Linked DNA regions of Oreochromis niloticus. The protein of the gene in region 1 purifies or fractionates together with the protein of each later gene. This does not show direct contact. Links are inferred from orthologs where the notes say so. Each region holds a gene or a part of one and is shown on either strand. Other genes may lie near its edges.

Region 1 (7,501 bases):
CCGGATCCTCCCACTGACATGATCACTCCTTCTTCCCCACTGCTATCAGACTCCTGAACAGCTGACCTACCTCAAATGCAATTTACACATCAGGATAATTTTCACACTAAGTTCATTTTGTACATTAAGCTCCTTTGTACATCCATTTACATTGACAACTGCATACCTCACTTATCTTCATTGACTTATTTTTGTACTTATTTATTTATCTTTCACTATTTTTTATCCTTATTTATCTTGTTCCTCCAACTCTTACCTTCCATACATTTGTGTATGGACAGCAAAGGAGGGTTTTCATTGCAGGGAGAAATGCTTTTTCTTCTATACACATGACAATAAGCACTTTGAATCTTTGAATCTTGAATCTTGAATGACCGCTGTGGGCAAACCTCCACCCGCCCCATTGCTGCTAAACAGGTGACAATAGATTTAAGTGCTGCTGAATCTTTGATTTTATTTATTTTCTGCTGTGTTTTACTTGCATCTATTTGAAAGAGTGAGTGTAAACACAAAACATGATTTTAGTTTATATGCTGGAATATGCAGACAATATGTTTAAATGTTAAACATATTTCTTCAAGTCAAAGACTGTTGCATATAATTTAATTTTTGCTTGATGCAAAAAGTTAAAAGATTAAAACTAATGAAACAAGTTTTAAAAAGAGACTTTTTCATTTGATTCAGTTTTATATGATGGTTTATGGAGAAAAAATAGAATTGGGCTGAAAGGTCTGTTGCTTTATTACACATAAGTAATGGGATTACTTTCTTAGAGAAGTGATCAGTAATTAGTAACTAATTAGTATTTTCAAGTAACTTGACCAACACTGCTCATCACATGACCCAAGGTGTGAAAAGGGTGTGTGTCATCATCAGCAGGTGAAACCACTCAAAGACCCTGACCCCCATCATGTGACCTACTGAAATCAACTGACCCAAGGTGTGAGTGGGCGTTAAAACGACCGGATTATAGATGGCAGACAGTTGGTGTGGTAAGCCCCACCCTCTGTTCAAAGATGGTCGCTCACAGTGGACATAGATGCTTCGTTCACTCCTCTTTCAAACTGTTTTCTCTGTCCACAATGTGAACACTGGCATTCTCAGAGAGTGACCTTTGAACTTTGGATGCAGATGAACAGCTGCATCTAAATTGATTTCATGAGTCTTTTACTTACTCTCAAAGTGTTAAATGCTTTAAGGAAACTCCTCAACATATAAAACCCCAAAAGAGCACCGAGATGGTCCAGCCAGATGCTCTTAGTACAGCCGAGGTCTCGACTGAAGCATAGAGGAGATCGGGCCTTCACAATGCATTTCTTACTTGGAAATTCCGAATGGGAATAGTAGAAAGTAGAATGGGAAACTTCATTATCTTCAATGTGCTATTGCTGTGTGATTTTTATTACTATTAATGAAGGATACTCAACACAGCTAACATTGTTAGCTGGTGTTAGCTGAGGTTAGTTCATAGACTGCAGACTGTTAGACTGTTTCTAAATACTTTCACTAGTCCAGACCTAAGTTCACACGGGAGTTCGGACTTCCCGAGAATGTAGCGCAATCGTTCTACAATTGTAACGGCAGTGTACGTGATGACATCACAGCTCCATCCCCTCTTAATTTAACTGTGATTAATATTTGCAATGGAAATTACACATGACATTAAAAAATTACACATGATGTCGTAGATTTCGTTAAGAAAAAAAGATAATTTAAAAAAGAATCTTAAGCACTTTGGCAAAATTCACTTTTATGTATCATCTGTTTCATGTCTAATAAGCGTCATACAGCTAAGCATAATCACTACATGACAGAAACGCAAGCTTCATCTCTTTTAATAAACACGGTACACATGTATGCCTGAACAAAACCAGTGAGATGTTGGAACACTTTTATTATTATTTTAGTAAACAGTCAAAACTTACAGCAGACAGCTGCTGGGGTTTGGAGGAGAATTGAACAAATATTTCAAATATAATCTGATCCTTTTTGGAGCAGCTTTCAGGATCTCCACGTATTAACATGCTGTTTTTAGACTTGATGGATAGCATTAACAACCTGCTAGTTGCAAATAATCATGTGCAGTTCCACATGATTATTAACAGACAGAAAGAAAACATATTACTGATACAGAAATAGTTTTCTGTACGAGATCGCTGCAAAAAGTGCAGCCTTACCTAATGTCCACCCTACTTTTACTCATTTTATATTAAGATTTAAAAATCTAGTTGGTATTGGTATGGCGAGTAACCTTCAGTAATAGTAATAAGTCACACAGCAATAGGACATTCATGTAGTTGTAAAAATTATGACAATAGATTAAGTAATCCAAAGTATTCAGTTACAAATATGTTACAAAATACATTTTGGGGCATGTATTCTGCAATCTGTAGTGAAATACATTTAAATGTACCCTTCCCAACACTGGGAATCACTTGCCACTTGATATTCGTACTTCAGAGTCTATACCAGGGGTCGGCAACCCGCGGCTCCGGAGCCGCATGCGGCTCTTTAGTCCTTATACTGCGGCTCCGCGTGGTTTGGGAAAATAAATTAGAAGTATTTAGCTGAAGTGTATTTTATTTATGTTAGTTCTTTTTAACTCGTAGTTCTAAATTGGAAGATTGTTGTGATTTTGAAATATAAAAATAAAATTATATTCTATTATTTTTTTCATCGCTCAAAATAAGAGTCACACTCGCGGAAGCCGGTATACCCGCCGAAACGCCGTGCATTTATCGAGACTTTCAACCCTACGGATCTTCGGATACACATTATGTCAGCAGCTGTTCTCCACCGTGAACTATGATAAAGACAAACACCGTGAGTAAACTGACTTCGTATATCCCCGATTTGCGGACTCTGTGCACAGAGGTTCAGGAGCAAAGTCCCATTGTAAACATATCACGGCAGACCCGACGATGTTTCCATGAACACGCTTTTGAGCATCTCTTTATTGAGCACTTTTCACACACGGTTGCTGTACGCATACAGCCGGCTGTAGCCTTTCAGCTCACAGCCCAACATACACCACCAACAACACAACAGCACAGATAGCGCAGACGTAAAGGCGGCGAGGCGTGATTGCGGGTGTCGCTCAGGTGCGTCCGCCTCCCCTGCAGCGGCGCTGCAAACCACGCCCCGCCGCACGCGTTAACCAGGTAAAATACATATTTAGGCAGAATTTTGCAAATATCTATTTTTCATTTTTCAGCAGCATAGTGCTTTTTTCCAATTATTTTTTAAGAGTCAGGTCAAGGCTCCAACAGCCCAAAGGAGATATAAGGGTGGCGGCTGACAACAGTTTTTGTTTGCTACATGGATCATTTTAGTTCAGCTGGGTGTCTTTCCTTTTGTTATATTTCTTTAAGAGTTCAAAATGTGTTAATTACGTAAATAAAATGTAATTTTCTCTGTAGCACTTCATGGATTTCATAAGCAACACACCTTAGTTGTTCACACAAAGCACAAAGGTAAAAAACAATATATACAGTGTTATCTTCATTTTAGATGTCAAAAAGTATTTGCGGCTCCCAGTGTTTTCTTTTGCGTGGAAACCGGGTCCAAGTGGCTCTTTGGGTGTAAAAGGTTGCAGACCCCTGGTCTATACAGTGTTTCAAATCTCGTCTTGAAACTCACTTTTTTACGCTGGCTTGATGAAACTCAAAGTTCAGTTTGAGCACCATCAGGTTTGTTTTGTGTTTGTTTTGTTTTTATGTTAAATATGTTGCCTTTGCCTCATATCATGTGTTATTTTTCCATTTTCTCTTGTTCATGAACTACTTGTGAAGCACTTTGGGCAACTTTGTTGCTTTTAAATGTGCTATAGAAATAAAATTGATAACTGATGTTATGAAGTGGCTGTTTGGTTTTTCCAGGTCTGAGCTGTCGTCGCTGTACTGCACAGCTACACTAGGTTGTTGACTTTGTGGCCGGTGTGCTTGGAGAAGCCTCTGCTGAGTTTCTCTGATACCCAGGACCTCCCTGCCGTGAGGTCACAGCCGTCACGTTACGCCATATTGAGTGTCGCTGATGCTGCGTGTGTTTTATTGTGGTACAGCACCATTGCTTTCAGGCGTTGGTGGTATAGTGGTTAGCATAGCTGCCTTCCAAGCAGTTGACCCGGGTTCGATTCCCGGCCAACGCAGTCTCCCTTTTACGACCGCTGAGACAGATTTCGGTTGTTCTGTTTCTTCTTGTCGGGTTTCAGCGGCTCCCGGCGCTCATGAAAGAAAAGAATCTTCCTTAAACTGCTTAAAACGATTCTCTGACACTCAGTGAGACGCTGCCGCTCCCGTCCGCAGGAGGGCGCTGCAAGCAGAGACTGTTACTTTGAAAGGATTCCTGCCAGACAGGAAAATGAACTGTCGATCTGATTCTCTAGTTTTATGTAATTTATTTTTTTATATTGTCGTATCTTTGGCACAAACTGCACCCTCCTTCTGTTTTTCATAATGTTCTTTAATGTCGCCACAAAGAGCGGAAGTGACCGCGGGCGCCCCGGAAGTAGCTCTCGCTGTTTTCTTGCGGTGCGGATCGGCGGAGCTGCTTTCTACCCCCCGACCTCCTCCCCGACCTGCGCTTTGTTACCGGGCTGCCGGGCTTGACCGGGCGCCTGTGTCTCACCCTCCGGGCGGCTTCACACTCCCCGGCCTGTAGCCGGGACTGCTCCTCGACATGGCGGCTGGAGGCGGCGCGGCTCCTCCGCATGTTGGTGATGTTGAAGAGGACGCTTCTCAGCTGCTCTTTCCTAAAGGTGAGTACCTGCAGCGCGCGCACGCACTCTCGAACAACTACCGACACGCGCAGGCGGTCCGTGGGTGCACGTGGGTACACAGACCGAGCTGCTGTCTGTGGGTTCTCTGAGCCTGTGTGCTGAGTGATTGACAGATGTTAACCCCCTCCTCCTCCTCAGAGTTCGAGAACGCGGAGACGCTACTGAACTCCGAGGTCCACATGTTGCTGGAGCACAGGAAGCAGCAGAACGAGAGCGCCGAGGACGAGCAGGAGCTGTCCGAGGTCTTCATGAAGACCCTCAACTACACGGCCCGCTTCAGCCGCTTCAAGAACCGCGAGACCATCACGGCCGTGCGCAGGTACGCCCCCCCGGCCCCTGCCCAGGTCCGAGGCAATCCAGTTCTGACCCCTGTCATCTCTCTGTCTTCAGCCTCCTGCTGCAGAAGAAGCTCCACAAGTTCGAGCTCGCCAGTTTGGCCAACCTGTGTCCAGAAGCCGCCGAGGAGGCCAAAGCCCTGATCCCCAGGTAAGTCCGATCCACGTCACAGCAGGAACAATAAAAGCCTTTGTTACAGCTGCAGTGTTGAGGTACAGGAGCTGCTCCACAGTTCATAACTAGCTGAGTTAAACACACAGGCAGGTTCAATTCAATTCAGTTTTATTTATACAGCTCCAAATCACAACAACAGTCGCCTAAATCCGCTTTATACTACAAGGTAGACCCTACAATAATACATACAGAGAAAACCCAACAATCATATGACCCCCTATGAGCAAGCACTTTGGCGACAGTGGGAAGGAAAAACTCCCTTTTAACAGGAAGAAACCTCCGGCAGAACCAGGCTCAGGGAGGGGCGGGGCCATCTGCTGTGATTGGTTGGGGTGAGAGAAGGAAGACAGGATAAAGACATGCTGTGGAAGAGAGACAGAGATTAATAACAGATATGATTCGATGCAGAGAGGTCTGTTAACACATAGTGAGTGAGAAAGGTGACTGGAAAGGAAAAACTCAATGCATCATGGGAATCCCCGGCAGCCTACGTCTATTGCAGCATAACTAAGGGAGGATTCAGGGTCACCTGGTCCAGCCCTAACTATATGCTTTAGCAAAAAGGAAAGTTTGAAGCCTAATCTTGAAAGTAGAGATAGTGTCTGTCTCCCGAATCCAAACTGGAAGCTGGTTCCACAGAAGAGGGGCCTGAAAACTGAAGGCTCTGCCTCCCATTCTACTTTTAAATACTCTAGGAACAACAAGTAGGCCTGCAGAGCGAGAGCGAAGTGCTCTAATAGGGTGATATGGTACTACAAGGTCATTAAGATAAGATGGGGCCTGATTATTTAAGACCTTGTATGTGAGGAGCAGGATTTTGAATTCTGGATTTAACAGGAAGCCAATGAAGGGAAGCCAAAACAGGAGAAATCTGCTCTCTCTTTCTAGTCCCTGTCAGTATTGGCCTATAATTAGCTAAGACTGCTGGGTCTAGAGATGCTTTTTAAGTAAAGGTTTAACTACAGCCACCTTGAAGGCCTGTGGTACATAGCCGATTATTAGAGATAGGTTGATCATATTTAAGATTGAAGCATTAATTAATGGCAGGACTTCTTTGAGCAGTTTTGTAGGAATGGGGTCTAAAAGACACGTTGATGGTTTGGAGGAAGTAATTATTGAAGTTAACTCAGAAAGATCAATTGGAGAAAAAGAGTCTAAATGAATATCAGTGGTACTGAAAGTAGCTGTAGATAATATTACATCTGTGGGATGATTATTGGTAATTTTTTCTCTAATGATAAAAATTTTATTTGTGAAGAAGTTCATGAAGTCATTACTAGTTAATGTTAAAGGGATTGTTGGCTCAGTAGAGCTCTGACTGTTTGTCAGCCTGGCTACAGTGCTGAAGAGAAACCTGGGGTTGTTCTTATTTTCTTCAATCAGTGATGAATAGTAAGATGTTCTGGCTTTGCGGAGGGCTTTCTTATAAAGCAGCAAACTATTTCTCCAGGCTAAATGATGATCCTCTAAATTTGTGACACGCCATTTCAATGCCAATGTTCACATTTTGGACAGAGAGAACAGATGGTTTGAAAGAGGAGTGAAAGAAGCCATTTATGTCCACTGTGAGCGACCATCTTTGAACAGAGGCGGGGCTTACGACACCAATTGTCTTCCAGGGGCCAGAGCAGGCGACATTGAAGGAAATTTAAAACTGCTGGCTAAAGGTAAACGTAAATAAAGTAAGATCATAATTCACGTCGGCAGTAATGACACCCGTTTAGGCCAATCGGAGGTCACTAAAATCAATATTGAATCGGTGTGTAACTTTGACAAAACAATGTCGGACTCTTGATGCATTCTCAATCATCCAGGAAAGTAAATCTCCAAAAGTTGAATCTGTTCATCTGGACGTAGCGTTTTGTGGGAGAAACGTTTCGTCACTCATCCAAGTGACTTCTTCAGTCTCAGCTGACTGCAGGTTTCCCCAAACCTTATAAACAGTACATTTGCATAATGACTGAAACCAGCCCACTGAAGGAACAATGGGCTGTGAGGTCAGTTCCTTAATCATAATTATGCAAATTCCCATGACCATTGATCAACAATCACTGACCAAAACCCACTGATCAAAGAACAGAAGAGCTTCCTCGTCAGGCCAGGACTCTGCAGTCTATTTACACCTACAGGCCAGTGGACACTCTTTCAATGATGAGGATGTACACATCCTGGACAGGGAAGAACGCTGGTTTGAGCGCGGAGTCAAGGAGGCCA
Region 2 (7,796 bases), on another chromosome or scaffold:
GGAAGGTTTTGTGTGCCACTTTAATACTTCAGTCCTTGCTGAGGGTACTTACCTTTAGACTTTTTAAATAGTTGGACAGCATGCTCGGATTAAATCTGTTCTCCTCTGCAACTTGGTCATCATATCTGGGACCTAACATCGTTTTCATTGGCAGGAATTTACCTAGGAAGGAGAAATGTAATGAATGAAACAAAAATCCTATAGTATTCTAGCATTGAAACTATCTTGTATGAGCAGGGACAGCGGCTTTGTCCCTAATTTAATGACTAATTTTTAGGGTTACGGCTAAGAGTCTAACTTCATACCAAGTCAAATCTACAAATTCAGAAAAATCAATAAAAAAATCAAATCACTGACTAAGTATTTGTCAAGGTCACATTCAATTAAGCATTAGACAGCACCCCAAGTGCATTTGTTTTGTAAAGAACTTGGTTAATAGCCAATAAAACTGTGGATCCATTTGTGTAAACTACACTGAATTTCTTAGAATAAAAGCCTGGAATAAAAGTGCCACCAACTCCAGCTGTGCCTTCAAACAGAGCATCTGTGTAAGCTGTTGCACTGTTATAAAGTTGAGGCGGAGAGGAGACAAGCCTGCAATTGCAGGTCTTACAGAAATGTCTTAACATCACATAACTGTAATGATAACAATGATGAATGGGCAAAATAAAACCGTAACATCAATACTTTTGTATAAAGTGTTAACAAGACAGCCTTGCATCACTTAAGCATGGGAACTTGGATCAATCCACTTGCACTGTCTACTTTTGACCTTATAATTTCCTTCTACTTATGTTGAGCTGTTATATTGACAGTTGTACATTGCAATAAGGAATAAATATAGGAACAGATCTATATCCACAGTCCATACTGCCATTCGTATCAACACAGTTTTATCTACATCTACCCTTTCAAGCCTGTCACATCAGTCAGCTGCACTATTAATACAGAACATAATGTAGAAAAAATTGCACACATTCCCAAAGTCTGTTACTGACCACTGAATTATTTAGGATATACTCAGGCTGTCTATCACTGACCAGTCCCAGAAAACACTGGTACACTTCTAGCTATGAAGTACAGTTGTCCACCTGTCTGTCTTTGCTCCAAGACACTACACTCCAAGAAACAGCTCCTTTCCTTAACCTCAATGACATTTTCATCAATGTCAAGGAAAAGAAGCTGGGAAGTAGTTTTAAAGATACCCCAGCTGTACAGCATTTCTGTCCCTCATGCTCTTGATCCACCTTTTTTGATTGGCTTAGGTTTTACAAAGGCAACACTACAAATCAGACACTTTTCTAAAGTCTGGCTTTTAATGAAAGATTCGGAGGTCAAAGAAAGAACGTCATTGTCCGTCTCTTGCAGGTTAACAAGTCTTTCACAGAAAACATCAAGTGACCACAGACTTACAAGCTACACAGATTTTTGCGCAATATGATAGAAACAGTCACAACTAAAATTAAATCCAGCTACAGTCAGTTAAAACGTCTAATAACTGTATGAAACTGGTGGAAAGTGAATTCTCCGATACTTTGGTTCATTTTTTTTCTCAGTTATTTTGGATCTTAAAAGAAACCTGAAGCTCAAACACAGATGTAGCAGCTGATGGGTGCATACCTAAGATAAGATAAGATAAGATAAGATAAAGATAAAGATAAGATAAGATAAGATAAGAGTTTATTGATCCCACGGCGGGGAAATTTGTGCGTTACCACAGCTCAGGTACAGATAGCAGAAGAATACAAAGACTATACCAGAATAATTCCAAAATACCTACTGGAAATCATAGTATTATCAGACAAAAACAGCAATTGGAATAACAGTTAAGAGTTTATAGATTATAAAAAACAAAAGAGAAAGAAAGGTGGCATTCAAATACATTAAAAAAAAATGCTTCTCATGCTAAACGCCTCTCAGCACTAGTAACGTGTCACACACATACAGTATGCTCGCCGTGAGCTCCTCAAGCCATAGCCCCGGTTTGTTTGGACACGTGATTCTTTGACGGTGAAGCATACCCACTTAGCAGCACTTTTCTGAAGCTCTTTTTAAAACGTTTTCTTTTAAAACTAATAGACTCCCATACTTGGTGTTTGTTCAACATTAAAGTCACACTAAAAGCTGAAAAGAAGCGGAAAACGTTGCTAAATAGTTACCGTTAGCGACCTAGCAAAAAGAGCGCGCACGAATACAGTGTCAGAGAAATTTTCATTAAAAAAATGCCAAAATTAAGTTAATTTCATATAAATACTAAATGAACAAACCTTTTTAACTAAATCAAGCTTAAAAAATTTGTTGACGTCATTCAATGAAATCGGCGCTTTGATTTACACCTCATTTAAAAGATAAAGTATTCATTTTTACAACAGAGAAACAGAGCTTAAATATGTGGTAATCTGTCTGTACTTAAAGACCGAACGTGAACCAAGACAGCCCATTACTGCTACTTAAATCTGACAGTCTAAAATAATAAATAAGTGATATATATCAGGCAACAAGCATCACAGCAACACCAGTGCACGAAGCTAACTAGTAGCAATAGCTTCATCTGGTAAATAAAACACTTTTGGTTAAATTTACACTAACCTGCCACAGGTTGCCCTCTTCTAGGACAATTGCGCCATCGAGGAGGAGGTCCGTTATTTGACATGTTGAGTTGAGGTTGGTAATATCTAAAAGCTTGTAATATCAATAACCCCGTTGCTTGATGCTGCCTCTCTCCCCCTACAGCAGATGCTGGGTAGATATTCACCCGAGCACTGCGGACTCAGGGCCCTTTAGCTCCTAATTCAGGAGAATCACCAAGCACGTTTAAGCCCGGTTAACCTTCTGACAGACCAGGAGGCATTTTACACGAAACGCAGGCTGTTCCGATCCACTGCAGATCAGCCTCTGAAGAAATTCAGCTATCTTTTTCATTTGTCTACCATAAATCTAGGTTTTTAGCAATCAGCTAGCAACACCTCAGTGATCCTTCTTCTTCTTCTACTGGTATTTTTCTACGGCGGCAAATCGTATCTGTGCATTATCGCCACCCTTTGGACTGAAATGGTTGCTGCAGCAGCTTGAAAGCTAGTTCATTTATTCATTTATTTACAAAGAAGAAAAAAAACACAAAACCCCCCACAAACGTTCTTACCTTATTATTTTATTTATTTGTCAACACTGCTTTAAATTTTTAATTTATTTGTTATTTATATTCTACAGTTCGATGGTGAGTAAATGCTCCAAAATTTAACTCTGATTCTAACTGGTTTATATTCTGAAGGACAATAAAGTGGTTATTCTATTCTATTCTATTCTATTCTATTCTATTCTATTCTATATGTGTTTAGCTCCTCTCTCCTCGTTATGTAGACCTATAGTTCTTTTTTATTTCCCCCACCTGTTGACAATACACAAAAATGTGTAATTGTTTCTTTCTGTCTTTATATTTCATACCTTTCTTTTAATATATTTTGACAGTTTTACATGTCTTTGATTGATTATCTCTTTTAGCTGTGGGGCAGATATTACTTGGCTTAAAAAATACATATATCCTGTATCTCTAGTATTTATTTTATTGCATGTTGTCTCATGTCTTGTGGCTCTGTTTAAAGGTTTTCAAAAGTTTATTGGCAACTTCAGGAGATTTCTTTACACCAACCAGATCAAGTGAGAAGTATGCAGTACAATAAACAGAGATTGAAATCCAAATGAAGTAGTGGATTGGACTCCCTTTTTACATCCAGAGATACCTTAATTATTTATGGCATAGACTCAACAAAGTGCTGGAAACATCCCTCTGAGATTTTGGTTCATATTGACATGATGTCATCACACAGCTGGTGCAAATTTGCCAACCGCGTCAATGATGGAAATCCCCTGTAACACCACCTCCCAAAGCTGCTCTTTTGGATTAAGTTCTGATGATTGTTGAGGCCATTTGAATGCAGGGAACTCACTGTCATGTTGAAGAAATAAGTTTGAGATGATCTCAGCTTTGTGATATCGTGCCGAAAAAGTGTCCCCCATAACCATTACGTCAGCAGCAGCAGCCTGCACCACTGATACAAGACAGGATAGATCCAATCCTGTTGTTTATGCCAAATTCATGCAGGAGGTGAGTGTACACCACACAACACCATAGAACACTGGTGTATGTGTGCATAATTTAGCTTGAAATATTAACACATTTTTTCCCTTTCACCAGTCTAACAGTGCATTAGTGGAAAATAAAAGTGAGCTGGCTCCCTTCCGTATGAACGTGTACTGTGGTTTCTCCAATTACACTCAGTGCCATGCACATTACAAAGCCTTGCTCACACTAATATATGATTACATGCAGAATACTTCAAACATTTTGTCATCAAATAACAAAAAAGGGTGTCAAGTACAACATTTATTCACTTTATTTCATACTCTTTTGTTTTTGTCTGTTTACGAGACATATGACAGTCCTTATGACGCTTCTGCGTGAATATTTATCAACACAATAACAAAATTTACATTTTAATGACTGCTCCAGTTTACAAATGACACAAAGCAGTAAAGCAAAAAAAAAATGCAGTGAGTCACACCTCAACAAACATCAAGCATATAATACATGGCTAAAATATTTACAACAAAATATCACAATACTATAATACAGACTATACATAAAACCAGGATCAGTGTCATAGCAAAGCATGTCTAGAATGCTAAATCCTGGGAACACTATATCATATTATCAGTGTTGATAACTCATATCCTTAAATCTTTTCATCACTTCACATTAAATGAAACCTATTCTTGCTGCACGGCTGAATACATTAAGATGACCTAATAAAGCAGTTACTACGTACACAAAAACAGTCATATATGTTTGTATCCTGTTGTTCCACAGTGCTAGGCAACTTAATGACACAAACACAGTCATATCAAACCATATCTATTTCTGTTACAGCTGACTGACTGCAAATCTATCTGCATCATTTACTTTCACTGCTCTCACCTGTTATGATCTTGTTCAATCATGTCTAATGTGACATATATGGTCTTAAGTAATGCCCTTTCTTGCTGTTTTACTGGCACATGCTTACTCTGTTTAGCAGTCTCTGGGACAGGACTCTCCACAGAACTCTGACTTCGATAGGGGTTGGCTGTGCTGCTCTCTGAGGAAATTAATGCTGTGGATTCTCCAGGAGAGGGAGGAGTCTTTGCAGGTTCAACTGGACTTTCATCCTCCGTATAAAGACCAAGAGTCATTCCTGAGTTTGCGTAGTCCACAATGTATTCACTGGCTGTGTGAGTATCATAGCCTATAACTGGTGAAGGGGTAGATGTGCTCTGCGCTTTCTCTGGGTATACTGTATCACAGTGGCTTTCAGATGGATTTCTGAATGGCTGGAAGCAGATTCCCTATGGATACAAACACACAGACAGAAGGGAGCCGTAAAACAAAAAGCTAGGATGAATTACAGCAGCTTTTATATATTATCAAGACTCGGGCATGGATTGTTTCTGTAGCCAGTGAAAGCTAAACCCTACATAGACATGATAACTCAGGATAGAGGACCTCTGGAAGAGGGAAGATGTTAAAGGAGTCACAGTGCATGGACACATAAATGAGTTCATGACAGAAACTTCAAACTAGGACAAAAAACATCTGTAAAAACCAGTGTGCCGTTCCAGAAAGCAGGTTCAACAAACTCGGGAACTTAGCATAAACTCTGAGTTGCGATAAACTTAGAGAGTTGAAACAGCCCTGATTATGTTCACCCTGAGTTAAGAATGCATGCGTGAAGGAGGATAGCGATCATCGGTGAAGCTCTGATACCAGGATTCCCCATGGCAACAGGTAAATAAAGAGCAGCACATGAATGCTTTTGAATCTGGACCGTGATAGCTATCATAAAAAAAACATGAGGGGAGAAAAGAGTCATTTAAAATCCTCCAACTTGAATTGTTTTAATCGCTGAAGCTCGAATACCACCAAATTTTACATTTGATTTTTAGATCAGATTTTTCAGTTGTAATCTGACAAATTACAGAAAACGAAAACTGAAGATATGGAGCAAACTCATAAGACAGTTTACTCATGGACCTGCGATATCAGTCAACCCAGTAAGAGTGATTTTGGAGATTATCAGTGCGAGTAGTTGAGGAATTTTCAGACATCGCACTTACTAAATGTTGCTCAATGTCATTTGACTGTATTTCAGTGCATGACTATATTCGAGCCCGAAGTGCTATCAGAACATATTAGAGCTCTCTGCAGTTATGCAAACATAGCATATCAGCACAAATATTAATGTGGGCTAATTTTACAGTCACCTTGGGGTCACTGAGTAGAGTCAAATGTGAGGCCATCTGCCCCTAGAGGTAAAGCTAAGCTCAGCTCTAAAGTTACAGCGAGGCACACTATGTATCGCACCATCAGTGCATTGTAAACATGCATATATGGATTTGGTAATACAGATAATATATGCATATTTTTATACTTGAGCCTAATCTGTCTTCACTGCTAGAACTGTGACTACAAAAATACAGAACACACCAAAAATACTTGTTCAGTCAAAGTAATTTCATAATACTAATTTATGACAAACTAAAGGGATTTTTGTGTCTCCGTGGGATACTAATTTTTATAGTTTTTAATAAAACTGATCATAATAGTGCTTATTTCCAACTGGGGTTTTATGTTTTGTCAAGCCAGCTAAGGCAAAGAAAGCCTGGTTGTGTTGAACTTCCTTTATAATATAGGCCTCAGGAAGTCTGGAGGGAAACTGTTTAAGATGACATTCATAAAACCACTTTCAGGAGAACTGAAAATACCAATTATTTTCATTTTTTATTAATCCGACTGCCAGATTTTGGTAGTTAACTTTTTGATTAAATCACAGAATCTTTCTTTCAGATCTCAGAAAATTGAGGTAAATGTGCAATGATCAAGAAAAAACATCTTAAACAGCTTTTACTCAGTTTGTTGACACACGCGACAAGGTAAAACAGAAGTAAATTACTGAGTAGTCACTTTAGCAGAAATACAGAATAACATTCAGCTTCTCTACAATTCAAGAAAGCACACTGATGTATTTCTACCTTTTTTTTCTCCTGACAATGAAAAACCTACAATTTAATCATGTGACTTCTTGAGCAACATTAATGCAGATATAATGTATCCCACTGGACAGCCTCAGATAATAACACACATGAAGTTAAAAACAAGCAGAGACGCGTGAGCACAAAGAAAATGTAGAAAACACATGTGAACAGACACAAGGACTGGACTATTTATACACCAAGGAGTGATTTGGGACTAGAAACGGGAGAAAAACAAGACAGATGTGCACATAAACAAAACAGATGGTGGGGACAAAAAAACAATCTGAAAAACTAAAAGAAGACAAACGAGAAAACAAACAAACAAAGTAAAAATGAGAAGAGGAAACAATAACTCAAAAACCTAAACTACATGTGAAAATATCACCGCCCCATCCCGCAAAGTTCATCATCATAAATCGACGGCCATGACATCCTCGTCACCTTTTGTTGGCTTTGCGATGCCCAAACACCCACAGAGCTGAGAGCTGGATTTGGCACGGGCTTCTCCTGGAATTTCTTCCATCTGAACAAATAACACACATCATTAACACATCGTCAGAAAGAAATCTGGAGAAGTGTACGGTGCCAAAAATTTAATCACAACATGACCACAGTGTCTTAACACATCAGAGCCTGTCTTCCACTATTAATGGGCTGGAAATGTTCTTGGTTCAGTGTTTGCTTTTAAAAGGAGCTCATAACAAATCATCAATAACAAAAAGAGACTG

What was found. Proteins that work in one complex are often made in the same cells at the same time.
Region 2: the proteins of polr2d (region 1) and rngtt purify together in Homo sapiens (affinity purification with mass spectrometry; 3 studies listed by BioGRID and IntAct, with this or other methods). This does not show direct contact. The link is inferred for Oreochromis niloticus from reciprocal best matches to the Homo sapiens genes POLR2D and RNGTT.

Annotation. Positions count from the first base shown.
Region 1 is NC_031979.2:40,020,929-40,028,429, reverse strand, and holds the start of polr2d (DNA-directed RNA polymerase II subunit RPB4), read left to right. Parts: upstream 1-4,485; 5' UTR 4,486-4,677; coding exon 4,678-4,756; intron 4,757-4,915; coding exon 4,916-5,096; intron 5,097-5,167; coding exon 5,168-5,263; intron 5,264-7,501. UniProt on the Homo sapiens protein: Core component of RNA polymerase II (Pol II), a DNA-dependent RNA polymerase which synthesizes mRNA precursors and many functional non-coding RNAs using the four ribonucleoside triphosphates as substrates.
Region 2 is NC_031980.2:14,941,467-14,949,262, reverse strand, and holds the start of rngtt (mRNA-capping enzyme), read right to left. Parts: upstream 3,017-7,796; 5' UTR 2,654-3,016; coding exon 2,590-2,653; intron 2,086-2,589; exon of another isoform or gene 1,946-2,085; intron 163-1,945; coding exon 53-162; intron 1-52. Other genes in the region: interleukin-6 receptor subunit beta, read right to left, coding at 4,972-5,382, 7,510-7,591.